Linked DNA regions of Zea mays. The main gene of each other region encodes a partner of the protein of the gene in region 2 in a complex. Links are inferred from orthologs where the notes say so. Each region holds a gene or a part of one and is shown on either strand. Other genes may lie near its edges. The genes, in order: 50S ribosomal protein L1, chloroplastic-like; 50S ribosomal protein L3, chloroplastic-like; 50S ribosomal protein L9; 50S ribosomal protein L15, chloroplastic-like precursor; 50S ribosomal protein L5; 50S ribosomal protein 6, chloroplastic-like; 50S ribosomal protein L27, chloroplastic.

Region 1 (4,228 bases), on a different chromosome or scaffold from region 2:
CCCTAACCTACCGCACGATTCTCATTTAGATCCCCAAACTATGAAATTGCATATCTAGGTCCCTAAACTATTTAAGTATCCCATCCCGGTGCAAAACAGTCACATCACAGTTCATTAGCTAACATTGCACTCTAGCGTGGAACCGACATGCATGTCCATAACTCATAATTACAAGGATGATACCTAAACTATCATTGGATTCTTACAAAAGTCTCAAACTATAAAATTTGGATTAGGATTGTAGTACTTTAATAGGTTAGGGACCTAGATGAGTAGTTTTATAGTTTGGGACCTAGCTGAGAATCCTATGATAGTTTAGACAGCCCTTGTAACTATGAACTATGGACCCATATGTCAGCTTCACGCTGGAGTGCCACGTCAGTTGATGGACTGTGATGTGGTTATTTTGGATCAAGATATGATACTTATATAGTTTAGGGACCTAGATATGCAATTTCATAGCTTGGGACCCAAATGAGAATTACATAATAGTTTAGGGACCGCCAGTGTAGTTTACTCATATTATTACCACTGATAACGCTTCATATCTTCCAACATGTGTCTCATCTAGTTTCCTCGGCGATCAGTAAAACCAACTATTTCAACTTCCTGAACTCTTGCTATGCACAATTAAATTACAAACATGTGTTCAATAAAAACACCATGCCTGAACCTTGAATTATCGGAGTACAGGAAAGTAAATGCAACTGATAAAGGTAGGAAGTTACTTGTACATGAATCCTAGAAGTCAGTAAATACTACAAGGGCATGAAGTTTTAAATCTTGTCACAGTGCCCAGACTAAGCAATGAAGACAAACGATTTAGAATATCGATAAAAAAACTGAGGCAAACAAAATCTGTATTGACTTCCTCAATACCTGAGTAATATTTGAAGAAACAGTGCCAGCTTTGGGGTTAGGCATCAGTCCTCTTGGTCCTAGAATCTTACCTAAGCCCGCAACCTGAAAAGTAAACAGAAATAACTCAGGCTGATAATCATTTAAAGGGGAGCCCACATTGAAAGTTTCTACGAACATGTCAAATAATGCAACAAATATATACAGAACTTTGGACATTTAGTTTAGCATTAGTTATCAAAGAATGAAACATCTCACACATGTATTCTTGTATTCCGAAATTAGATTGGCATAGCCAATCTATTTTATCTATAGAAAACAAAAAAATTAACAGTTTACATGGTAAGACACTTAGGACCTATAGTAAGCACAACTAAATATTTCATTTCAAATTTTGTGGTAGTATCCAACAGTAAATTGAAATGAAGGCAGAACTGTTAATAGCTCATACCTTAGGCATCATATCAGGTGATGCAATCAATTTGTCAAACTCCATAAATCCTCCTTTTATTTGTTCAATCAAATCTTCTCCACCTACGATATCAGCTCCGGCAGCTCTAGCTTCATCTATCTTCTCACCTGTGAGGTCAGAAAATAACTATTAATGCATATAATGACCATGATTATTTCAACTACTGGTGCTACCATCTTTATGATAATGACAAGAAAAACATGACTATCTTTCACAAAGGATATGAAAGAGAAGTTTCAGTCATTCAACAAGGGTTTGCTAAGTGGACAGCACAAAAATAGCACCATCCCAACTCCCAAGTGACTTCTTGTAAAAAACAAAGAAGTAGAAACATCATGAACATAATAAACTGATTGTTAAATTCTTCTACCAAGATGCCAAAGATGAATTAACTTTGTCCAATCCAATATGTTGCATTTGAACTCTGAAAGAAGCCATGGTACTTTAAGAAGAAAAAAAATACAAAATTAACCAATCGGGTCATCAGCACACAATGTTTGCATAAAAATAAAGACAAGCGTGTTTCAGATTAAACCCATAGTCACACATGAGGCAAGGCAATAGTGTCAAACAGAACAATCACACATATGACCCACTAGCACAGTGAATTCAGTTTGTACTAACTATCGCTCAACAGGATTTCGTTGTGTTTCAATCACCGCCCACCTTGTGTGAGAACCGCAATCTTCACCGACTGGCCTGTTCCCTTGGGCAAATTCACCTGTGGTCACCACGACCAGCACAAATTAACGAACGCAACAGGGCACAAGCAACCAAAAAGAGAAGGCCAGAAAAGAAGAAACAATACCGTGGCCCGGAGCTGCTGGTCATTGTACTTGGGGTCGAGATTCATGCGGAAGTGCGCCTCCGCTGACTCAACAAACTTGGCACTGGACATCTGCTTCATCAACGAGATGGCGGTGGGCACGTCGTAGTCCTTCTTGCTCTCCCTCAGCTTCTGTATCTCGAGGAACCTCTTCGACCTCGTCTGCGCACCATCAAAACTAGCACAGCATCACCGGCCGTACACAAGCAAGCAAGCCACAGGAACCATATACGGAGGGTGGGGTATTCGGCGATATGCGTACGCGGTCGCGCTTAAGCAGTAGCGCGGCCTTGCCGGTGCGCGGGCGCGTGGGGGCCGTGAACGCGGGGCCGCGCCCGCCCTCATACCCGTCGTCGTCGTCGTACTGGCCCTGCTGGTCGACCTCCGCCTCCTCTTCGAGCACGGCCCCCTGCGGGTCGGCGATGGCGGCCGCGGCGGGGCGGCGGAACGCGAGGAGGAGCCGCGGGTACGCACGCAGCGACGGCACGGAGGAGGGGAACAGCAGCGCGTTTGACGAGGCCGGCGCCGTGCTGCTGGCCGCCGGCGCGAGGAGGGAGGAGGAGGCGGTGGCCGCGGCGGCTGTGGCCATGGTGGAGGCCGGGGAGGATGGCGCAGCAGATAAGAGGGAGTGGAGGGATAGAAAGAGAAGCCGAAGTGGCAGCGCGGGTTGGTTATAGCCGAAAGATCTCGGCCTGGGTGTTCATCGGATAGGGCTGGTCGTGGGCGGGCTCGCGGTCGCAGCCTCGCAGGGGCAGGGATGACGGGCGCCGCGCCTGGAAAACTCCTCCCCCCTGATTCCAGTGATTTTGGCTCAACCGAGACGCCCGGTCACCTGCCTGATCTTGGTTGGGAGTTGGGACGAGCGGGTGTACGAGTGTGCGATCGTGTCGTGTCCGCGCGGGCGACGGGTAAGGAGAAACACGGCGAGTTGGCTGGGCCGAGACGCGCGCAGGTGTTCGGAGCTCCTGATTTGGCTCAGCCCCGAGGACCGAGAGCCATGCGGATGCGCGCGAGGCAGCCGGACAGGTGTGTGGTCGCGGTTCGCGTGTGGGTTCGAGCGGCAGCGACGAGGGACGCATGTGTGGCTGTGGCTGCCAGCCTGCGACTGCGAACTGTTTGTGTGTGGCCCTTGACTCTACTCTATATCTATACTACTATATTATTTAGATTATCCACCAAACAAATTCAGATAGCTGGATAACTCTATCACCCTTACTCAAATTCAATGATGAACAATATTATCTAGATCATCTATCATTTGTCATGTCACCCTTCCCTTTCCCACAATCTGTCGCCTCCAACCTCTCCCTCCCTCGCGTCCCCGTCGCCCTCTCCCCTTCACTCGTGCCTCCACCGTCAATTCCTCCTATAGTTCTGAGGCCTATGTTGTAATACATTGGTAGTGTGACCATAACATGTGGTTTTCTCACTTTGTAATCAGACTTTAGGTTGTTTCAATGGCACACCACTCCACATACATACAATGAACTTTAGAAAGTGCAGGAGCTCCAACTTTTTCCCCTGCTGCCACCATGTAGAGGGAGAGAGAGAAAATTATCTCATATATCACTACACTTTTAATATAGAATTTTCTTTGTGCGTCGCCATGTGTCTCTCACGCGTGAGTAGGGGTGGTAATGGGCTATAAACTTTATACTGCAAATTTTAAGGATCGAATCGGATTAGGGTCGGGCTCTATTCTTATTCATTTTTGAACTAATATTATTTAAGGGCCTTAACTTTTGTGAAGAGGCATTTGGATCGTGATCCATTACCACCTCTACGCGTGAGCGCCCGTGTCCGTCCAACGCGGCAGGGCTCCTACCACTATGGCACACATCCATTTGTGGTACATAAAGGAGAGATTATATATATCTATACACTATAATTTAAAAAAAAAATATAATCATGTTTGAATATATATATATATAATTTAAGGAAATGCAACATATATGATATACAAAAACTGTAGCAATATTGAGAGCACCTAGAAAGGGGTGAATAGGTGATCCTGTAAAATTCAACACTAATAGCCACAAAACTTAGTTGTTAAAGTTAGAACGGCTAAGTAG
Region 2 (3,058 bases):
GAACCATCCGCACTACACCAAGACACCACCAACGATGTACCGACACCCATGGAGGAAGATGACCTACAAGGGGAAGACCTGGTCGACTACGAAGCTACGCCAGAACACTTGGAAAATTAGAAAAAGTAAGGTGACGGATTGGTCAGGATCGCTATGACGCTCGACGGTGTTGGGACTGACAGTTCGATCAAAGCTAAAAGAGTCACGTCCGTTGAGTCAACCATCGGGACTAAGGCCACTACGTATCATCCTAGCAAGTGTCAAGATGCCTAAGAAAACTGATGTGATCACATCGAGTTAGTTGCTTTTGGTTCGCTCAGCTCCACCAAAAGGCAGGGGGGCATATGTTTGACACCAAAATGAGCCGGCGGACTGTCTGGCCCTGAGGCCGGACGGTCCGCGGTCCGGACGGTCCGCGCCTGTGGGCCGGACGGTCCGCGTGTGCACAGAGCAGATTAGGGTTCCGAGTTTTGTGCTACGATTGTTAGCTAAAATCATGGGATAAGCTCGGGAATTAGTTTGTAAAGGGTCCAGCCCCCTCCTCTATAAATAGAGAGGTATACGGCCGATTTGTAATCATCAATCGAATCAATACAACTTCTATTTCGCATTTTATCCTAGGAGTAGTTCTAGTCTAGTTTAGGTTTAGCCTCTCGATCCCCAAATTCTTCGCCTCTCTTCGACTCTACGCCGATTAGAGGAGTCTAGGTCGGCCGGCCCGAGCCTAGACAACCCCTAGGATCTCTCCTCCCCGACGGGGTCCCTCCCGGGAGCGAGATCCAGGCGCCGCCGGCGATCTTCCGCCGCCCCTGCGCACGCGCGGACCGTCCGGCCCTAGGGCGCGGACCGTCCGGCCGTCAGGCAGGAAACCCTAGCCCCTGCGCCAGGTCGCGGACCGTCCGGCCCCAGGCCGCGGACCGTCCGCGCCTGACCAGAGAGCACCGCCGCCGGTTCTTCTTGAGTATTTGGCGCTCCGAAAAAGCGTCAACAGCTCTGTTCCAACTTACCAAACACAGAACAGAGCGGCTCTGTTCCTAGAATCAGGGATGGAATGGCTCCGTTCTACTTGGCTCCTCAACCAAACACTAAGTACGTGACAATAGGAGAATGGATGGAGGTCTTGCCATGCAAATTTCTAAGCAACTGTATATACGCTTTCTTTGTAGAAAGGCGTATCTATTTGAGTCGCTTCCGAGCAGACGTCCTCCTTGGATAAGGGGATAGGCGCGAGGAAGAGCGGCCTATCCGCATCCGCATAAATCCCAGTCAAATTGAACGAGAGCGCCACTCCCCTCTGCTAATCCCAGTCAAATCGAAGCAAGCATGGCCATGGCGGCCGTGGGCGTGGGCGGCGCAGTGGCGTTCCTCCTCCCGCAGCGCCGCCAGGGCGCCGTCCCCTGGAGCGGCGGGCGGCGGCGGGCGCCCGTGGCGGTGCGCGCGTCGTACGAGGCCGGGGTGGGCGTGATGGCGACCAAGGTGGGGATGATGACCTACTTCGATCCGGAGACGGGGAAGCCGGTGCCGGTGACCGTGGTCGGGTTCCGGGAGGGCGGCAACGTGGTGACGCAGGTGAAGACGGCCGCCACGGACGGGTACGACGCCGTCCAGGTCGGGTACCACGGCGTGCGCGAGGACAAGCTCACCCGCCCGGAGCTGGGCCACCTGGGCAAGGCCGGCGCCCCGCCGCTGCGCCACCTGCAGGAGTTCCGGCTCACCGCCGTCGACGCCTTCGAGCCCGGCCAGCCCCTCGACTTCGCCGACCTCTTCAAGGAGGGCGACCTCATCGACGTCTCCGGCAACTCCATCGGCAAGGGGTTCCAAGGTAGTACACCGATTCTCGCGCCTCCATCCAATAGTGCGATTGCATTGCCAGCAACAGCAATTCTGCTAATGATCTGCCAGCCTCGGTTGTATGTGTCATTGTTCCGTTTCATGGAGAGTGAAGTTTTAGCAGCATTTGCTGTAGCTGTAGTTTCAAAGGTTTGCATTTGCGATTGCTATGCCACTTGTGCAATCTCCTAGCTTGCAACGTTCTTGATCCGCTCGCGCGCGGTTTTACTTGTGGCACTGCGCAGGTGGCATCAAGAGGCACAACTTCAAGCGCGGGCTGATGACGCACGGTTCCAAGAGCCACCGGCAGCTGGGTTCCATCGGAGCCGGGACGACGCCGGGCCGCGTGTACAAGGGGAAGAAGATGCCCGGGAGGATGGGAGGAACCAAGACCAAGATCAGGAAGCTCAAGATCGTCAAGATCGACAACAACCTCCGGGTGCTCATGATCAAGGGGGCCGTGCCAGGGAAGCCCGGGAACCTCCTCCGCATAACGCCGGCCAAGATCGTCGGCAAGAACATCCCCAAGAACTAGACTTCTTTTTTCAGGGGGGTGAATGTTGAGTGTTTGTGTTTGTTACCCTGCTACAAACTGGATGTAATCCTTTGCCAATTTCCAGTTTTTGAACACATGCAACTTCAGATTAGTAAAACTATAACCTGTACAATTTGGATGCTTGGGTGAGAGAGTAATAGGCAGGTAATGCAAGATGCACTTCTGGTTCCTGAATTCCGCTAAACAATAGTTGATTAATTCTATGGCCATAGATCATACAAATAGTTAAATACAAATGGTCGCAGATCATGCAGATATGTACTGATCTGAGTCAGGAAACGCAACCAAAACGGAACCAGGAAATGCGACAAACAAGAAAAACTGCAGACGTAACCTTGTGCAACAGGGGGGCAGAAAGGAGAACTTTGACATAATCGTAAAGCTTCCACTATAGCCAACTGAACGAATACATTTGCTACCACATCACCCTCAGAGAAGATACAAAGAAGACGGATTGTTTGGGCCACCCTTCAATACGGATTATTTGATCATAATAATAAGCCATCCATGCTTCTACTCTAAGAGCACAAAACCTAACACGGAAGAAGAAACAGTGGCCACCAAATCAGCTAGTTCCACGACCACAATTGTAGATATTTAGCTGCCCAAAATAGTCTGTACAAATGGATCACTCCTCAACCTGCACATAAAGAACATACGACCAAAGAAGTT
Region 3 (4,081 bases), about 140 Mb from region 2:
CCGTTACATTTTCACGTACTCCTTTATTAAAAGGGAAAATTACAAATTAAGTTTCTTAAAATCTGAACGCCTTTCTCTTCACGCCTGCATTTTAAATTATCCAGCCTGCGGCCGTGGCTTCACGCGTGTTGGCTGATGTATCTCTGAATATTACTGTTCACCGATCGCTGTTGAACGACTTATCACTTTACCTGTTCTTTCACGCACTTCGAAACTGGCGCAGCGGAGCGCCCCGTCCGGTCTAGTGTAGTAAATAGTAATGGGAAGTTGAATGCAGATGCCTCTTTTATTGAAATCTGAACCAACCCAACTTAATCTTGTAGTAATGAACTATATTTTTGGTCACTGCATTACATTTCCGAGTATTCTTTAAAAGGGGAAATTACACTGTAGTAATGGGAGATTTGAATGCAGATGCATAACCTCTGTTGAAATTTGAGCCATCCTAACTGTGTTAGTTGTGTTCGAGAAAAATAAAAGGTTGGCTGAGTTCGAGAGGAAAAAATGTTGATTGATTTAGTTCATCAGACATTTTTGTGATTGGGTTATCTCTTGTATTCTGACCTAGATGTTGAATTCTTTCAGGTCCATTGTTAATGGCGCTGCGAAGTGGCTGAACGACAACCTGTAGGCTGTAAATATTTACTGCAGGATAGAAGATTGTCTTACATGGTGCTGTAGTCCAATCAAAGTTCTTAGATTCATTGGGGGTCCCCACGAGCTCGTATATTCGTTTTATTGGAGAGCTGCAAGATTTTCAGGCTGAGTGGCAACCGAGGGAGTGAAAGTTGTCAACTAATATCGTCGCGGCGTTGGTCCCTTGTCATTCTTGCCAAGCAATTATTTTTATGTAGTTGGAGTCCTTTTCAGTCTGGCAAGCGGCGTAGAAGTCTGAAGCTGTGGGATGCTGATCCCAAACCCCGGGACTAGACAAACACTGTACTTGAGGTTTTGGATTAATCAAATTCACCGATATCGAATTGCAAACTTATCCAACTTACAAGATGCGATGGAACTATTTATTAGAAATACGTTTCGGTGATATCGAATTCTCAGTTTCGAGAAAGGGCTATCACGCCGGCAGTTCACGCGGCTGGATCCGGGCACGGCGACCGCGCAGGCTCCCGCCATGGACGCAGCGCGACAGGCGAGAGAAGCTGTGAAACGGGCTCTACGGAGCCGTGACATTATCCATTCCAGATCGATTGGGCCGCCGCCGCCGCTTTCTCATTTCCGGGCCCAAACCATTATTTAGGCCTCTCGCGAAGTCAGTGGATGGATAAGAAAGGAAAGCGGTGCGAGCGGAGGAGGCGACCGAAGCGCCACTTGCTTGAGTAGCGAAGCGCGAGAGCAATGGCGTCGCTGTCGTGCGCCTCCACGCTGCCCTGGACCCCCGCCTCCTACCCGCGGCCCTCGGCGGGGCGCTGCCTCACGGCCTCTCGCCGGGCTCCGTCGCTGGTCATCGTCGCCCAGGGGAAGGTCAAGAAGTACCGCCAGGTCGGCCCGGGCTTTCCGCGTGTTCTTATGTTCGAGTTCTGTGCTGATTTCATCTTAGCAATCAGTTAATGCACGCGGGTTGCTGAGGGCATCATAACCTGCCGCGTTTTAGTTTTCTTCTCTAAAAAAATTGATGCACCGCCGTCGGTACGTTTGTATATTGTGATCAATAGATACAAATGAAGTTAGCTAGCTTAGCTGTCTCACTGGCAACAGGTAAGATATAGTGGCTCGCACAATTTAGATGCTCCAAGAGTTGTACTACTACTACTACTAACCAGGCTTTTAGGCAGGGGATTTAGATACTAGGGATGAAATACCTTTGATGGGAGCCTTGCCTCACTAGTTGGAGTTCAGTTCATAAGTCGTTCCTTTTGCTGTGTTTGCCTGATTGTACAAGAATGCAACAACGGTGCATCCAGTTAAATTGACAATGTGGTGCTTATCTTGTGTAGCTATTACCGCCACCCTTAGCATTACATGTGATTTTACCTTTCTCCATAAAAAAAACAATTCTTTCCCATAGGTCATATTGACAGACGACATAGAAGAGGTGGGGAAGAAAGGGGATACACTGAAGGTGCGAGCTGGATTCTACCGCAACTTCCTCCTTCCCAAGGGCAAGGCTACACTTCTGACCCCAGAAGTCCTCAAGTAATTGCTACCAGCTCTCGGTTATCCCTCACTTGCTTTGCTTTGTTAGTTATGTCATTTAATCCTCAAGTAATTGCAAAGTCCACACTCTGTCAAATGATTCAGTGGCTGCTGGCAACCGTATGACCTTCTCTGTGGTATGCTTAGTTTGACTCTGAGGTTTGGGACCTAGGCACCTAGCAAAACTAGATTGAGATATGAATCCAATCCATGCACCTTTCTAATAGAATTGCAATGGTCGACACACATACTGTTTGATTCGATGGGTAAGTAAGATTGCGAATGAATTTATTGCCTCTACTTCTCTTCGCAGGGAAATGCAGCTGGAGCAGGAGAGAATAGAAGCTGAGAAGAAGCGGGTAGGAAAAAATATTTTACTCAGTAATAAATGTAGTTGCAATTTAACCTCAGCGACCTTTTTCTTTGTCTGGAGAGTAAACTTCAATTGCAGTTTATCCTTACTTTCCTTATGAAAAGAAAATATAGTGCCTTTATGTCCTCCGTAATTTAAGTCCTAAGCATGATATGTTCATGAAATTCTATCAATGCATTTTTATCAGTTTTTGTTTATAATTATGGCCTTAAGAAGTCCTCTATTTACATAGGTAAAAGAAGACGCGCAACAACTTGCTCGAGTTTTTGAAACCATTGGCGCTTTCAAACTCCCTCGCAAAGGTGGAAAAGGAAAACAGATCTTTGGGAGGCAAGTTCTAAGTTGGACAATCCATTATTTATTCTCTCTTGTCTCAGGCTATCTCTTACAGCTTACCCATCTCCATCTCTCATTTCAAACTCTACTTTGTACACACTGCAATCTATAGTGTCACTATCTGCTGGGTATAGTCTTACTTTCACTTTTCTGACGATATCTTTTATTGTACAGTGTCACGGCACAGGATGTTGTTGACATAATAAAGTCACAACTTAATAGGCAAGTGCATATGCTCCTAACTCCTAGGCAATCTTAATAGCGTTTCTCATCATTATATTGCTTCTCTTACTGCTGGCACGCTGTGTCTTGTAGGGATGTCGACAAGAAGCTGGTGACGGTTCCAGAAATCCGTGAAATCGGAGAGTATGTTGCAGAGATCAAGCTTCACCCAGACGTGACAGCGCGAGTAAGGCTGAATGTCTATGCGAAATGAGCTCAGCAGTTACAGAACCTCGAGTAATGGACTTTGGAGAAGCCTGATGTTTGCCAGGCGAGCTCATTTGCCGTTGTTCTTTCCTTGAGATTTGGCTCTTAGAATTCCGCTGGTCTTGCTCTTACACAGTTGCTTTTGTTTAGTGCAGAGATTTTGCTGCAAGTGCCAGGTGCTGCGGTAGACATGAGGCCTGGTCTGGCCGTGACTTGCCTGGTTTTGATACACAATTCACTGGCTCACTGCGCATCCTATTCCCTACCGTGTGAAGTCAAGTTTTCAACAATTATATCTGTTGATTTTGAGGCGGAAAATATAAATTGTTGTAAAGAACAATTTGTTTGAACTGTAGAGCACTACTTCGCCAAAAACGACCCTTCTTTCTTGTCCTCTAACCTTCCCCACCTCTACGTCTGCATCCACTACAAAAAAAAGGCAAGAAATTTGCTAAGTATGGGGCTCCATAGAGCGTTATTCAGATTGGAACACCAACGTACTTGACACATGAACTGCGTTTCTTTTAGCCAAAGTCTGGGCGTCACCAGCGATCTGATACAGATTCACGCAAACCAACTGTATTCATCTCAACATCCACGTTCTACAAAAATGACAGTTTCACATCGTTGTCTAAAAATGCAATGACTCCCGAATACCAGTACAACTCCTCGCTTCACCCTTTACAAAAATCCTTCTGCTTCTGCTAAATGAACTAGCATCATAACTGAACAGCCAGCATTGCAGGCAAGGGGGCATTGCACAGAGCTAGAAATAGCCTTTCCGCTTACGCC
Region 4 (3,599 bases), on a different chromosome or scaffold from region 2:
TAAATACTAATCAAAGCACCAGTTAAGATACCAATTAAAAGTACTCACTAAGGTACCCATTTTTGTGAACCATGAAGGTGACAAGTCTCAATTACACCCTTGTAGCTTGCTCAATCCTCCTATCCACCTTGAGATTATGTAAGATCACTAAAGAAAACATTAGTCTCAAATAACACAAGATATGTGTGCTCCCCTCAAATTCTGCATCAAGTACTTGAATACAAGGTTACAATAAGCGCTAGGCGTTAGGCGGGCGTTAGGCCACTGTTTAGCGCCTAGAGAGCTTAGGCGTAGATTAATCGTGCTTAAGCGTTTGTAGGAATATACAATATAATATATATATTTGCACAGAAAAAACAGTTTTAGCTAGGAATTAGGGGTACTTACCTGGAATAATGAATAAAAGTATAGAACAGAAGAGATGGAGGAGCAGAGCAAGAGCAGAGGGAGAGGGAGAGCACGCCTGGATAGCTAGGGAAAAGGAGCAGAGAGGCGCTGACCCCGGTGGCCTGGACGACTTGACCAGAAGGAGAAGAGGAACCGACGGTGGCGGCCCTGGACAGCTGGGGAAGAGGACCAGTCTGGCAGCGGCCCTGTTTTCCTCCTCTTCCATGCAACAGCAGCTGCAGCTCCCAGCCTGTTTCACTCTCTCCCGGGCAACAGCAGCTCCCACCTCTTTCCCTCCTATTCACTTTCTATTCCCGCGCAGCAGCTTTTTTCTATTCCCGCGCAGCAGCTTCCGTGCTCACCTTTTCCCCGCGCGCCGAACCCCGCTTCCACACGCCTCCTTTCCGCCTCAGCGCGCATAGCGCAAATCACGCGCCGCCTACACGCGCCCACCGCGGAAACCACCGCCTAGGGCCTAAGCGCAGCGCTAACATGCCGCTTAGCGTCTAATCGTGATTAGGCGGGCGCTTAATCGCGCTTTTTTGAACATTGCTTGAATAACTTATTCTACCCACATTCTAGCAATTAAGGATGTGTTTGGTTGCCGGACAGAGTTTTTTGCTTAAGTTTGTGCATATTGCAAATCTTTTTGAAAAGATGTGAAAAAGGTATGGTTCTATCCCTTACTCAATTATTTTAGTTGCTAACTATGTTTGTCTAAGCGTTAGAGAATATAATGTATCAAAGTTTTGATATAGTTCTATCTTCTATTCAGAAAAATACCGATTTTTTCTTCTTTATATACAACTTTCGAGTATATTATTATTATTGACATGAATGGGCCACGGCTGTTTGAAAAACAGGCCCAAATAAAGAGTGGAAGAGGCCCATCGTCTCCATCTTATCTCGTTCCCAAACCCCAATTATCCGCTTCTATCCACAATCGCAATTCGCAAGCCCTTCCAACGGCAGTCATGGCTTCCATCACCCTCCTCTCCCTCGCTCCCACCGCCATCTTCCTCCACATCCCGGCTTTCACCTCCTCCTCCGTCGTTGGTCCCGGAATCCTAGCCGGCCGCTGGGCCGCGCCCCGCGCCCTCCCGCTCCGCGCGCTCCCGCCCCGTCGCGTCACCGTCGTCTGCAGCAGCGCCGCGGCGGCAGCCGAGGCCTCGGACGCCGCAGCGCCAGTGGAGAAGTTCCGGCTCGACAATTTGGGGCCCCAGAAGGGGTCCCGCCGGCGGCCCAAGCGTAAGGGACGCGGTATTGCTGCAGGCCAGGGCGCGAGCTGCGGGTTCGGTATGCGCGGGCAGAAATCGCGCTCGGGGCCCGGCGTCCGGCGCGGGTTCGAGGGAGGGCAGATGCCGCTCTACCGCCGTCTCCCCAAGCTACGGGGCATTGCCGGCGGTGAGTTGCTTCAGTTAAACCGAAGCTTCCCCTAATGCACTCAATCGAAGCAACTCGCTAAGCTCTAGTTCAGACAGATGCTTGTCTCACACCCCCACTTCGGCATTGCCCATCCGTGATTAAATTCACACCAGGCTGGCGCATAACTAATTGAACTATGCATTGTGTTGTTACTCGTGAGAGCCCATCAAGGTTACAAGGAATGCAGAAATGCAAGTGATTGAGAAGTTGCCTGATGTGAGTTCCACCATGGCTTTTCAGGGATGCACATTGGCCTGCCGAAGTATGTGCCATTCAATTTAAAAGACATAGTGCGCGGCGGATTCAAAGATGGTGACGAAATATCACTGGAAAGCCTGAAATCACGGGGTCTGATCAATCCATCAGGCAGGGAAAGGAAGCTGCCGCTGAAGGTAAATCTTTTGATGATTAACCTTTGGTTGTTTCAATAAAACTTGTTTTGTGGACTGGTATTTGTGACATAGAACTTGACACGTTCGAAAATATGAATGACTTCATATTCAAGGGTTTGGCTTAGGTCTTGGCCAGTGAGGACATGTTCTCTTTAAGGCAACCTTATTGTACCCCAGATTTGAAGCAAGAATCGAAGTGTTTAGTGATTTGTCGTTAGATTGAGTGGCCAGTATTCTTACTTTTTTACTTCTTATAGGTTGTTGTATCGATTCTGAATTAGCCTGTGATAATGTTAGGTACCAAGTTTATCCACTTGAGTTAGAGTCATCTATTAGAACATGCAATACGGGATCGAGTTTTTTTGGTTGTTTCTGTTAGATGAGCACCACTTGAAGTGTTGAATAGCTTTGTTTGTACAATTTGGCAATGTTCCCATAGGTTGTTCATTGGATTTACAATATATTCTAGAGTAACTACAAACTTCCATATCTGCTAACATAAACATGAAGTGGCATGTGCCACCTGTTAGTTTTTGCAATCATATTTTGTCTTACCTTCATGATCACTTGTTGTTCACCTGTTTGTAGATCTTAGGAGATGGGGATGTATCAGTTAAGTTGAATATCAAGGCTGGAGCGTTTTCAGCTTCAGCTAAAGAGAAGCTTGAGGCAGCTGGTTGTTCCCTAACTCTGTTACCTAAACGAAAGAAATGGCTTCCACAAAATTATCTAAAGAACCAAGCCCGAGCAGAAGAGTACTTTGCCAAGAAAAAAGCTGGTGCTGGTGAATCTGATAGCGGCTCTGCATAGAATTTCTTTGCGATGTACTCTTCTCTTGCTTTTAGCATATGCTTATTACTGAGCAAGACACACCGGCTCAACTAAAAATGTTCATAACTTCTTCATCCAAACTCTGACTTCGATGATATTAGACATTTCGGAAATTTTATTTAAAGGGCTACGATAGCCACTTTAATAATTGATTCAGAACAAAATGGACTAATCCAGAATTCAAATCCAAAGACACAACCCTTGGTTAGGAGAATATCGAAAACCTTTTTTTACAAAGAAAGTTAACTCCAAATGATTTCCCACGTGATGATCAACACCTTTAAGACTTAGTTAGCATTTTCAAAGGTTTTTTATCTCAAACTTTATCCACCACTTGATCCTAGCAACATATGCAAAGTTAGATCACTCAAGTGGCTCTAGATGACAGATATGGAAACAATGTTGACTATCTTAATAGTACGACCATCTATTTTAAACCAGATTATGCACAATTCTACACAACCTTTGATTGGTGAAATGAGATGCTCTGCAAGTAATACATTTCCCTTGTACATTCTATTTCATCTCCCGAAACAATGACACAACACAAGCATCGACCTCTAT
Region 5 (3,398 bases), on a different chromosome or scaffold from region 2:
TCCGGCGCCGGGAGGGGCGGCTTCGTCAGGGACATCTTCGTGCGCGGCCTCAGCCTCCACACCATGAAGTGGGTGTTCTGGATGACCGGCAACTACGGGCAGCACCCCGACAACACGTCCGACCCCAACGCCATGCCCGAGGTCACCGGCATCAACTACAGCGACGTGTTCGCCGAGAACGTGACCATGGCCGGCAGGATGGAGGGCATCCCTAAGGACCCCTACACCGGGATCTGCATATCCAACGTGACCGCCCGCCTCGCGCCGGACGCCAAGGAGCTGCAGTGGAACTGCACCAACGTCAAGGGGGTCACCTCCCACGTCTCGCCCAAGCCGTGCCCGGAGCTCGCCGCGGAGGGCAAGCCGTGCGCCTTCCCGGAGGAAGAGCTCGTCATCGGCCCACCCGAGCTGCCGAAGTGTAGCTATTGAGGCCGATTGCCAAAAGAGATCATTGATCATATAGGCTCTTCGGTGATAGTCTAGACAAGCAGTATGAGAAATGCAGCTGAAATACGTTTGCATTACAGTGTCCGTCTCACATTACTGCTTCCTCCGATTACAATGTCTGGCAGTGGTATAACTTGTGACTACAAATTATGCATCAAGAAGAAATCAGCAAAACGGACATGATCATTGCAAACCTTTTTCATAGGTGCACAAGTTACATAATTGACAGACAACAACAGCATCGAATTTGTAAGCCAAATTCTGCAAAAAGATCGGAATTAAAACAAGCTGAACAGAGCGTGTGCAACCATGGGCTGGCTGGCTGGCTGGTTCCTCTCCTCACCGTCGTCCTCCCTTCCCCTTGCCCTTGCTCAGGAAGTGGTGGCGCTTCAACCTCTTCTTCCGGATCACCACGTCGGTCTTGATGTTCTCCGAGAATGGCATGCCGAGGAGGACCAGCAGCCTGAACGCCTCGTTGTCCGTCTTGGCGCTGGTGACGATGGACACGTCCATGCCGTTCTTCTTCCCGCCCACCTCGTACGGGATCTCCGGGAACACGCCCTGGTCACGGAGGCCAAGGCTGTAGTTGCCGTGCCCGTCGAAGCTGTTGGGGTTGACACCCAGGAAGTCCATGGTCCTAGGGAGCCCAAGGTTGATGAGCCTATCCAGGAAGTTGTACATTATCTACAGCCAAGGACAAAAAAAAGAAAAAGAAATGAGCCCTGTACCAGTGAAACGAGCTCACAATTTCCACTTGTATTGCAGATTATACTAAGCTGCCATATTCCAAACTGCCACGAAATACACTCCGAGGCCAAATGAGCAATGGATGAGGCTCACCCTGCCGCGGAGGGTGACTGCGATACCGATGGTGTTTCCCTCACGGATCTTGAAGCTGGCCACGGACTTCCTGGCCTTGGTCTTGACGGGCCACTGCCCGGTGATCATGGCCAGGTCCTTCATGGCGGCATCCAGCCCCTTCGAGTTCCCTGCCTCCGCGCCCAGACCGCAGTTCACCACAATCTTCTCGAGCTTGGGAACCTAGCCGTTCGAACCAACCGCACGACTCATCAAAAGTCAAAATCCTACCACGCCAGCAAATTAGCCTAGCTACAAGGAGGAACGGCGGGCCTTTCCGCGGCGAGGAGGAGCAGGGTCGACGGTCGAGCACCTGGTGGACATTGGTGTAGCCGAACTCCTCGGTGATGAGCGGGACGACCTTCTGGTCGTAGACGGCCTTGAGCCGGTGCACCTTCTGGGCTTCGGATGGGTCGACGAGCACGATGCCGGAGGGCGATGTCGGCGGCTGCGTGGGCTTGGGCGGCGCCTCGGTAGCGGCGGAGGCCACGACGCGGAGAGCTCGGCGGGGAGCCGCGGAGGGCAGGAGCAGGCAGCGGCGGGCGGATGAGGAAGAGGCGGTTGTGGCGACGGCGAAGGGCGTGCCCGAGGAGGGCAGGGTCACAGCCGCGGCTGCCATCGGAGCGGGGCGTGCGGAGGCGGGCGCGGCTTATGCCATGGATGAGGAAGACGGTTGCTGGATAAGGCGTCGGCTGTGCCGCTGGCAGTGGCCAATCCAGTGGTTCTGGGCTAGGCCTTCGTGTGCTCTGGACTTGGACCCATTGAGGATACAGAGATGGCTAAAGCCCATCAAGCCCAAGCCAAGATTGTTTAGTGGATCAATAAGATTAACATCATAATACAGCCTTGTTTTGCTAACAACGAACCTAATATCGTGAATACGTGATTAACAACAGTCATTGAGCTGGTCATGCGTGTAAAAAACAACTTAAAAAACAAGTGTGATCAGTTTAATATTTGATATGTGGGACATGTGCCCATGATGACGTTACATATATATTTTTTAGTGAGAGGTAACCATATATTAAACTGATTACACATGTTCAAGCTAAAGTGCATGACAAAAATAGTTCAATTAGAATCCATAATGGTAGCTTGCTATCAAGATTGTCATGCACTATTGCTTGGTCATGACACACCACATATAAATCAAATAAAATATTGAAAGATTGATATACAAATCAAAATAAAATGTTGAAAACTGAATATTCAAGCTTGAATATAGTAGATTTGTCGTATGTGGTTCGTCGTCTACGTCTCGCTTGGTTGGGCTAGGTCGCTTGACGCTTGGGCCTCGTTGGGCCGCAGGGCAGCTGTGCAGCTCGTTTGGCTCGTTAAGAACCAAACTAAAATGTTGGCTGAGCTCGTGACTCATTTCAAACGAGCCAAGATGTATCAAGCCACTAATGAGAGCGAGTTATGGATCCACAAGTTTCTCGTCCAGACCTAGTGGCAAAGTCTGTGCAATATGATTAGTAGGGTGTAGAGTGGTTTCTAGACTTGCGGGTATCGTACTTTAGACTTTAATAGGACCTCACTCGTGAAGTAGACTAGTTTGTGTACTTTGTATACATGGCCTTACTCTTCTCTTTCAACCATGATTGATGTCTTTAGTGTGTTGGTTGTGTTGGCCCAAAAATGAGATGCAATATTCCAAACTATCGTGACAGGGGTTGTGGACACCCTATGCTCCATGTGACAACACAATTGGATGCCATGGAGCCTAAGGCTGTTGTGTGGGGGATAGATATCCCCCGGGTCCACTAAAGGAGTAAAAGACCTCACGAAAGGCCCAAGGGCCCAATAAATCGTAAGGTCATTCTTTTGTGGGCCTGGGGAGAAACAACCAACAAAGCAGAGCGACGTGATACCGGATTGGTGCAAACCCGAATGGCCCACAACGTCGAGCGAGTAAATCGCAACAGAGACCCGACTTTCCCGCGCTGAAGCCCCCATGCAGCGGAGCCATGCGAAGATAAGTCGGCGAGGGTTACGTAGGGATAAACTCAAGAGGTTCACTACCTTTTAGCTACTTGTTGTTATCATATCCACGTGTACTGCCCCACGGTCGAGTATATAAGGCCTAGGGGCAC
Region 6 (2,357 bases), on a different chromosome or scaffold from region 2:
CCATTTCTCTATTTCTTCTATCGGTCCTGAAGTACTTATTTCTTTTCTGATGGATGGATGAATGGATGATGGTTCATTAATGAGTACTTGCCGATGTGGTGATGTCTGAAATCTAGATAGTTTGTGTTACATGTTAGTACCTAGTTATCCCTTAAGGGCTTGTTCGGTTACACGAATCCAGAAGGGGATTGGAGGGGTTTAAATCCCCTCTTAGGGCTGATTTGGTGACCCGGGATCCCGGGAGGATTGAAGGGGATTGAGGGGAAAATTAGTTTATTTCCCCCTCAATCCCCTCCAATCCTCCCGTGATCACCTTGTCACCAAATCAACTCGGTTGATTTGGTGACAAGGTGATCACGGGAGGATTGGAGGGGATTGAAGGGGAAATGAACTAATTTCCCCCTCAATTCTCTCAAATCCCGCCGTAATCTCTGGTCACCAAATCAGCCCTTATTGGCTAGTTTGGAAACTCACATCCTCTTCGGGATTGAAGGGGATTGGAGAGGAAATTAGTTCATTTCCACCCCAATCCCCTCCAACCCTGAAGGGGATTTGAGGTTCCCAAAGTAGCACTAAGGGTTAGTTTGGAAACTCAAATCCCTTCAAGATTGAAGGGGATTGAAGAGAAAATTAGTTTATTTCTACCTCAATCCCCTCCAATCCCAATGGGGATTTGAGGTTCCCATTGACTAGGAGGGGATTTAATACCCTCCAATCGCCTTCTGGATTGGTGTGCCTGAACATGCGTTAATTGGAGATGGGGACCCATTGGGGACCCAAAACCCGAATGAGGATGAGTATGAGATGAATTTTGCACCCATAATGGGTATGAGGATGGACTAAATATGATAGGAATGAGTTTGGGATGCTATAACCCGATGGAGAATTCTCCATTAACATCTCTAGATGAGTTAGAGATAGCTTTAGAAGTACAAGCTAGTTGTGCCGAAACATTTTTCAACAAAATTCGGGAGACAACTGATCGTTGTACCAAAAGAAATATATTATGTACCCGTGAGCCTCATTTTGTTTTGTTGAAGCTTCATCAACGGCACATCTTAGACCACGGAATTTTATAATATAAAAAGGTGACATGGCATTTTATGATAAGAAGAGGGCAGGGGACTAAACAATTACAAGTTTTTTTTAAAAGAAGTGGAGATATAAAAAAGGAAAAACACTCGATGAGTGAGCGGTCAGATGATCGCACATAGTGTGGGCCAGATTTCGCTCAGCGTAGCAAATCCCGCAATCACAAAACCCAATCCGAAACAGTCCTCCTCCCATCTTATCCCAAACACAACCCACACTACTACCCTACCCGTCCGCCTCTCTCGAAAGCGCAGCACCAGCGAGCATGTCGCCTGTCACCGCACTCCTGGCGGGCACGGTGGTGCCGCCGGCCTCGGCCCCGTCGCCAGCGAGGCACGCCCGCCATTACTCCGTCGGCTTCTCCCCGCTCCACGGCGGCGGGCGCGCGGCGCTGGCGGTGGAGTGCTCGTCGCGGCCGCAGAAGAAGGGGACCAAGCACCACATGAAGACGCGGCCCAAGAAGACGCAGCCGTGGGACATCAAGCGCCGCCCCACGCAGTACCCGCCGCTGCCGCCGCTCCCGCCGGACTGGACGCTCGTCGCCTCCGGCGCCACGGTGGACGTGGAGGAGGCGGAGGCCCCGGCACCCGCCGCGACTCTCGTCCTCGACGTGGCCGCGGCCACCGACTGAGGCCGCCGCGGCGTGTCGCCAAAGTTGTTCCCTTGAACCTCCGCATAAGCTGTTTTTCTTTGAGATTTATTATATAATAACAATGGCTGCCCAGATTTTGTGATTATAAATTAAGAATCTTTCATTGCTGTCCAGATTGTGGCTGTCACCGCGTCCAATTTAGTGCGTTGCTAGATGATTTCTTGGTTGCATGCTGTGTGCAACGCTTATTCCATGCCGTCAGTGGCAGTGCAGACTGCAGAGTGATTAGCTACTCCATCTCCATAGTTTGCCAGTTAAGTTATGATGGGATATGGATTACGCAAATATAGTCTTCAAAAGGGGGGGAAAACAAGCAGCCCAACGAAGACATCTGCCTCTTGTTTGACTTTAGGAGCTGGCTCTGTTTGATTTGGACAATTGCCTGATATTGGGGAAGGTTCGGTAAACAGTAAACTCAGCTTAGATGGCAGGAACAGCCATTGAACACTGCAAATGATAGGAAATTTTAGAAGTAACCTAGTTGTTTGTAATGTTGCTTTTGTTGGAGCATGATTGTGCGAATTCCATATGCTACCTGCCTACCTAGGGATGGCAATGGATACGGGTATGGGTAAATAACCGCGGATAATTATCCATTGGATATGAGTATGGT
Region 7 (3,640 bases), on a different chromosome or scaffold from region 2:
GTTCCAGAAGAAAAAAAGGTACCAAAACCTGTCACTCATGGGGAAGGGATCACATTCACATTCACATTCACCAATCACCATCATGGCCGGTCGGTCGCGGCGTCTCTCTCTCTCTCTCTCAATCCTTCTCTTTTTTTACAGTCACGGCTGATATGATCTTGGGTTTTATCTAACCCTCCCCATCATTCTCGTTTAGACCCAGCCTGCCTGCTTGCTTGGCCTTTTCGTGTCCTTTTCAGTTCCAAACTATTCACCGTGCAGTGGCAAAGATCGATATGGACTAACATTTTACAACCGCAAGCACGCTATAATTTGTCACAAATAAACAAGAGTGGGAAAAAGATAGAGGAAATGCGTTGTGTCGGTCGGGTCCGGCCGGGGTGGGGTGCGGGTGTGGGTGTCGCCGGCGAATCGTCAGACGAGGCAATGATCGCCGGCGGTCAATGTCATCTCTCCGTCCCCCTGCTGACGGTGCGTGCGGTGCGGTGACTGCTGCTAGTACAAGTAGTAGCAGCAGCCTGTGAGCGCCGTGCGCTGCTGCCTCTTTGAAATTTCTGGCATCCCTAGTGCCGCCGGAAATCTAACGCACACGGAGACGGAGGAGTAAACAGTGCAAACTGCAGCGAGTGAGCGGATGGAGCGTCTGGACTCTGGAGAACACGAGATTATTAGTGGGTGGTGGTGGTGGTGGTAGGGCCCTGTTTGCTTGTGTGGTCTGGTCTGGGCCATGATTAACTTGGACCCCCAAACGCTCTGCATCTCCCGCGCTTTCGTCAAGGATCCTAATCATGCCATGTGTCGGTCGTCTCCTCTTCTTCCGGCTCCAGCTTTGCCGTTGCCGCCGGTCAAGCCCATCATCATGCCTACTGCTTCTCTTGCTCTTGCTCTTGCTCCACAACAAGCCTGCCTGTCACTCTAGCTAGCTTCCCCGGCTATCTCCCCACGTGCCGACGCTAGCTAGCTGTGGCCATTCAGCGTCTCTCTGTGCAGCTCCGGAGGGAGGAACAAGATGATGCCCTTTTGGTTCACATATCATGTTTGTTTAACTCTAACTGAGCCTATTCAGACTTATTATCGTTGGTACTTGAATGTGAATCATTATCGTTACCACTTACGTTACATATCATGAACCAAACACCACCACACTGATCATTTTGTTTTCCCCCTGAATGATTCCTTCGTGAATCCTGTGTTGCCTTGCCTAAAACTACAAGGACCAAAACCGGCCAGGAGCATAACACCATTTCCCTCCCTTCCAATTCGGCCAGACACTCTGCAAGCACCACGAGGCCCATCTGCAAGTAAGGCCCAAAAACTCCAGGACCCAAAACACTGGGCCAACCACGAACGAGCCCACGTCTCCCGACTGCATCCCTTCTCCACTCCGTTATCACCAGCGCCCACACCTCTGTACCTCACCGCCTCATCTGCTCTCTTCCCCCGTCTTCTTCCCAAGCTGCCACGTTGCCTCCCTCCGCTCCAGCGGCCCATGGCCTCCATGGCGTTCGCCCTGGCGGGGGCCTTCAAGGGCCTCTCCCTGGCGCCCACCACCACCACCTCCTCCTTCCCGCGCTGCGACCGCGCCTCGCTCTCCGTCGGCGGCGCAGCGGGCGTGCCGGTGCCGGTGCCGGCGCGGCGGCTCACCATCCAGATGGCGCACAAGAAGGGGGCCGGGAGCACCAAGAACGGCCGCGACTCCAAGGGCCAGCGCCTCGGGGTCAAGATATACGGCGACCAGCTCGCCAAGCCCGGGGCCATCATCATCCGCCAGCGCGGCACCAGGGTCCTGCCCCCCTCTTGCTCCCTTCGCTTCCCTTACCTGTTACTGGTTTGCTTTGGGTTAGTAAGACAGCCTAGGCTCTTGCTTGCGTGGATTATGGTACCTCGTTGACTGGCTCTGCTGGGCGACATAGCTCTCTCTGCCTAGCGTTTGCTTGCTGCTCACCTGCTGCTGCTGCTGCTGATGCAGGTTAAGCATATTAACCACCGACCAGTACCTTCATACGGATTACGGACTGCGAATGCTAGAATCTTACGATGTACCTAGAATGCTTGCCATTGCACATGTTACGTTGGAATGTATGCTGCCATTGTGCATATCTGCATTTTCCATAGTTTACCACTCTGCAAAAGCAGGAAAGAAAAGATTGCAGTTTCTTGCATACATCAGATAACGGGAGGGGAAAGTGCACACACAAACCTCGCTGGGGAATGTAACGTACTAACCTCAATGCCCTATGGAGCCAACTGGTGGTGACTTAGGGGGGTGTTTGTTTGGGATTATAATCTGCCCAGGTTATATAATCCAACAAATTTTGAACTAAACACCCACCTTACTCTGCACACATGGTCAGACATAGCTGTTCAATATTAGGCATACTGTAAGATGGTCGGTCAATCCTTGTAAAAGATATTTCATGAACTTACATGTCTTACGATTTGGTTGGTCCGTCCTACTTACCAGCGCGCTTCAAATATTTAAGATGTTTATATATTATGGATACTACATGGTTTATACCATCGTGTCCCTTGTATAGAGTTCGTTTTGGTCCCCGTTTTGTGGTCTGTCTGTTCCTTGCCGTTTTTAAGTTTTTTCTTAAAATAAAATCTTTTGGACATTTCAGGTCTATCCTGGAAATAACGTTGGAATGGGCAAGGATCACACACTCTTTTCTTTGATAGATGGACTCGTCAAGTTTGAGAAGTATGGGCCGGACAAGAAAAAGGTTAGCTGTATCTTAGTTACTACATACTGAAATCTGCTTTTACTTGCATCTGACTGAGATCTGGTTGCACACCAGATATATGCTCATCTCACTACCTCTCCTTTCATAGGTTAGTGTTTACCCATATGAGAAGGAGCCTGAAAACCCAAACAGTTACAGAGCAAGGAAGAGAGAGTACTTCCGCATGCGGCGTGAACGGAAGAAGGCGAGAGCGGAGGGCGCCGCTGAGCCTCAGTTGGTACTAGCTGCTGTTGATGAAAACTCTGAGGTCAGCGCGGACTGCTGATAAGTTTCCTGTGTGGTGTTTCTCTTTTTCACAGCCCTTGTTACACTTTTTCTTCCTTAATTGTAAGACCACATGATCTATAAAGGTCATATTTACATGTGTTGTTTAGATAAATGGATATGTTCTACTTGTACTTTTTGTGGGGTAGTTGTGCTTTAGAGTCACAGTGGGGGTCTATTCCAACTTCCTAGACCACTCCACGTAGGGCGTGTTTGGTTCGGCTTTTTTCTGAATAGCTTTTCTGAAAAGCTGGTGGTTAGAATTTAGGTGTTTGGTTCGCCAGCTGTGCGGAAAAGCTGTTCGTTAGAATCTAGGTGTTTGGATACACAGATTCTCAGATTGCAGATTCTGTTTGAAGAAACTATACACATTAACACCGAACCAACAAAAGGTCATTACATATAATTAGTGGAGTTCATTACAACATAACTACTGTTACATTTACATATTTAACTACGGCACTAATGCATTAGCAATTGCATCTCGAAATGCACTCATGTCTAACTCATCAGATGTGATACTACTACTCTCACCTACAGATACATCATGACCAAGGCTATTAGGTCCTAGTTCATCAAAGTCTCTATCGTGTAGAGCACTGTCTCTAATGAAGTTATGCAATGTCATA

Evidence for each region.
Region 1: 50S ribosomal protein L3, chloroplastic-like (region 2) and 50S ribosomal protein L1, chloroplastic-like share a complex: the UniProt entries of both Arabidopsis thaliana proteins name them as parts of the 50S ribosomal subunit. The link is inferred for Zea mays from reciprocal best matches to the Arabidopsis thaliana genes AT2G43030 and EMB3126.
Region 3: 50S ribosomal protein L3, chloroplastic-like (region 2) and 50S ribosomal protein L9 share a complex: the UniProt entries of both Arabidopsis thaliana proteins name them as parts of the 50S ribosomal subunit. The link is inferred for Zea mays from reciprocal best matches to the Arabidopsis thaliana genes AT2G43030 and RPL9.
Region 4: 50S ribosomal protein L3, chloroplastic-like (region 2) and 50S ribosomal protein L15, chloroplastic-like precursor share a complex: the UniProt entries of both Arabidopsis thaliana proteins name them as parts of the 50S ribosomal subunit. The link is inferred for Zea mays from reciprocal best matches to the Arabidopsis thaliana genes AT2G43030 and RPL15.
Region 5: 50S ribosomal protein L3, chloroplastic-like (region 2) and 50S ribosomal protein L5 share a complex: the UniProt entries of both Arabidopsis thaliana proteins name them as parts of the 50S ribosomal subunit. The link is inferred for Zea mays from reciprocal best matches to the Arabidopsis thaliana genes AT2G43030 and AT4G01310.
Region 6: 50S ribosomal protein L3, chloroplastic-like (region 2) and 50S ribosomal protein 6, chloroplastic-like share a complex: the UniProt entries of both Arabidopsis thaliana proteins name them as parts of the 50S ribosomal subunit. The link is inferred for Zea mays from reciprocal best matches to the Arabidopsis thaliana genes AT2G43030 and PSRP6.
Region 7: 50S ribosomal protein L3, chloroplastic-like (region 2) and 50S ribosomal protein L27, chloroplastic share a complex: the UniProt entries of both Arabidopsis thaliana proteins name them as parts of the 50S ribosomal subunit. The link is inferred for Zea mays from reciprocal best matches to the Arabidopsis thaliana genes AT2G43030 and RPL27.

The regions. Positions count from the first base shown.
Region 1 is NC_050101.1:154,265,039-154,269,266, reverse strand, and holds the start of 50S ribosomal protein L1, chloroplastic-like, read right to left. Parts: upstream 2,801-4,228; 5' UTR 2,746-2,800; coding exon 2,419-2,745; intron 2,319-2,418; coding exon 2,139-2,318; intron 2,052-2,138; coding exon 1,997-2,051; intron 1,438-1,996; coding exon 1,310-1,437; intron 964-1,309; coding exon 880-963; intron 1-879. UniProt on the Arabidopsis thaliana protein: This protein binds directly to 23S ribosomal RNA.
Region 2 is NC_050100.1:79,035,706-79,038,763, reverse strand, and holds 50S ribosomal protein L3, chloroplastic-like, read left to right. Parts: upstream 1-1,179; 5' UTR 1,180-1,323; coding exon 1,324-1,822; intron 1,823-2,075; coding exon 2,076-2,365; 3' UTR 2,366-2,558; downstream 2,559-3,058. UniProt on the Arabidopsis thaliana protein: One of the primary rRNA binding proteins, it binds directly near the 3'-end of the 23S rRNA, where it nucleates assembly of the 50S subunit.
Region 3 is NC_050100.1:222,785,531-222,789,611, reverse strand, and holds 50S ribosomal protein L9, read left to right. Parts: upstream 1-1,281; 5' UTR 1,282-1,353; coding exon 1,354-1,497; intron 1,498-2,023; coding exon 2,024-2,151; intron 2,152-2,464; coding exon 2,465-2,510; intron 2,511-2,756; coding exon 2,757-2,854; intron 2,855-3,034; coding exon 3,035-3,082; intron 3,083-3,175; coding exon 3,176-3,296; 3' UTR 3,297-3,353; intron 3,354-3,439; 3' UTR 3,440-3,664; downstream 3,665-4,081. Other genes in the region: Chaperone protein dnaJ A7A, chloroplastic, read left to right, coding at 586-631; methyltransferase WBSCR22, read right to left, coding at 4,056-4,081. UniProt on the Arabidopsis thaliana protein: Binds to the 23S rRNA.
Region 4 is NC_050096.1:27,447,139-27,450,737, forward strand, and holds 50S ribosomal protein L15, chloroplastic-like precursor, read left to right. Parts: upstream 1-1,360; 5' UTR 1,361-1,361; coding exon 1,362-1,791; intron 1,792-2,052; coding exon 2,053-2,204; intron 2,205-2,792; coding exon 2,793-3,014; 3' UTR 3,015-3,099; downstream 3,100-3,599.
Region 5 is NC_050096.1:5,387,174-5,390,571, forward strand, and holds 50S ribosomal protein L5, read right to left. Parts: upstream 2,028-3,398; 5' UTR 1,925-2,027; coding exon 1,619-1,924; intron 1,489-1,618; coding exon 1,288-1,488; intron 1,132-1,287; coding exon 787-1,131; 3' UTR 501-786; downstream 1-500. Other genes in the region: glycoside hydrolase, family 28 precursor, read left to right, coding at 1-429. UniProt on the Arabidopsis thaliana protein: Binds 5S rRNA, forms part of the central protuberance of the 50S subunit.
Region 6 is NC_050099.1:216,898,364-216,900,720, reverse strand, and holds 50S ribosomal protein 6, chloroplastic-like, read left to right. Parts: upstream 1-1,285; 5' UTR 1,286-1,357; coding exon 1,358-1,723; 3' UTR 1,724-1,857; downstream 1,858-2,357.
Region 7 is NC_050103.1:167,360,501-167,364,140, reverse strand, and holds 50S ribosomal protein L27, chloroplastic, read left to right. Parts: upstream 1-1,427; 5' UTR 1,428-1,489; coding exon 1,490-1,783; intron 1,784-2,624; coding exon 2,625-2,726; intron 2,727-2,835; coding exon 2,836-3,012; 3' UTR 3,013-3,140; downstream 3,141-3,640.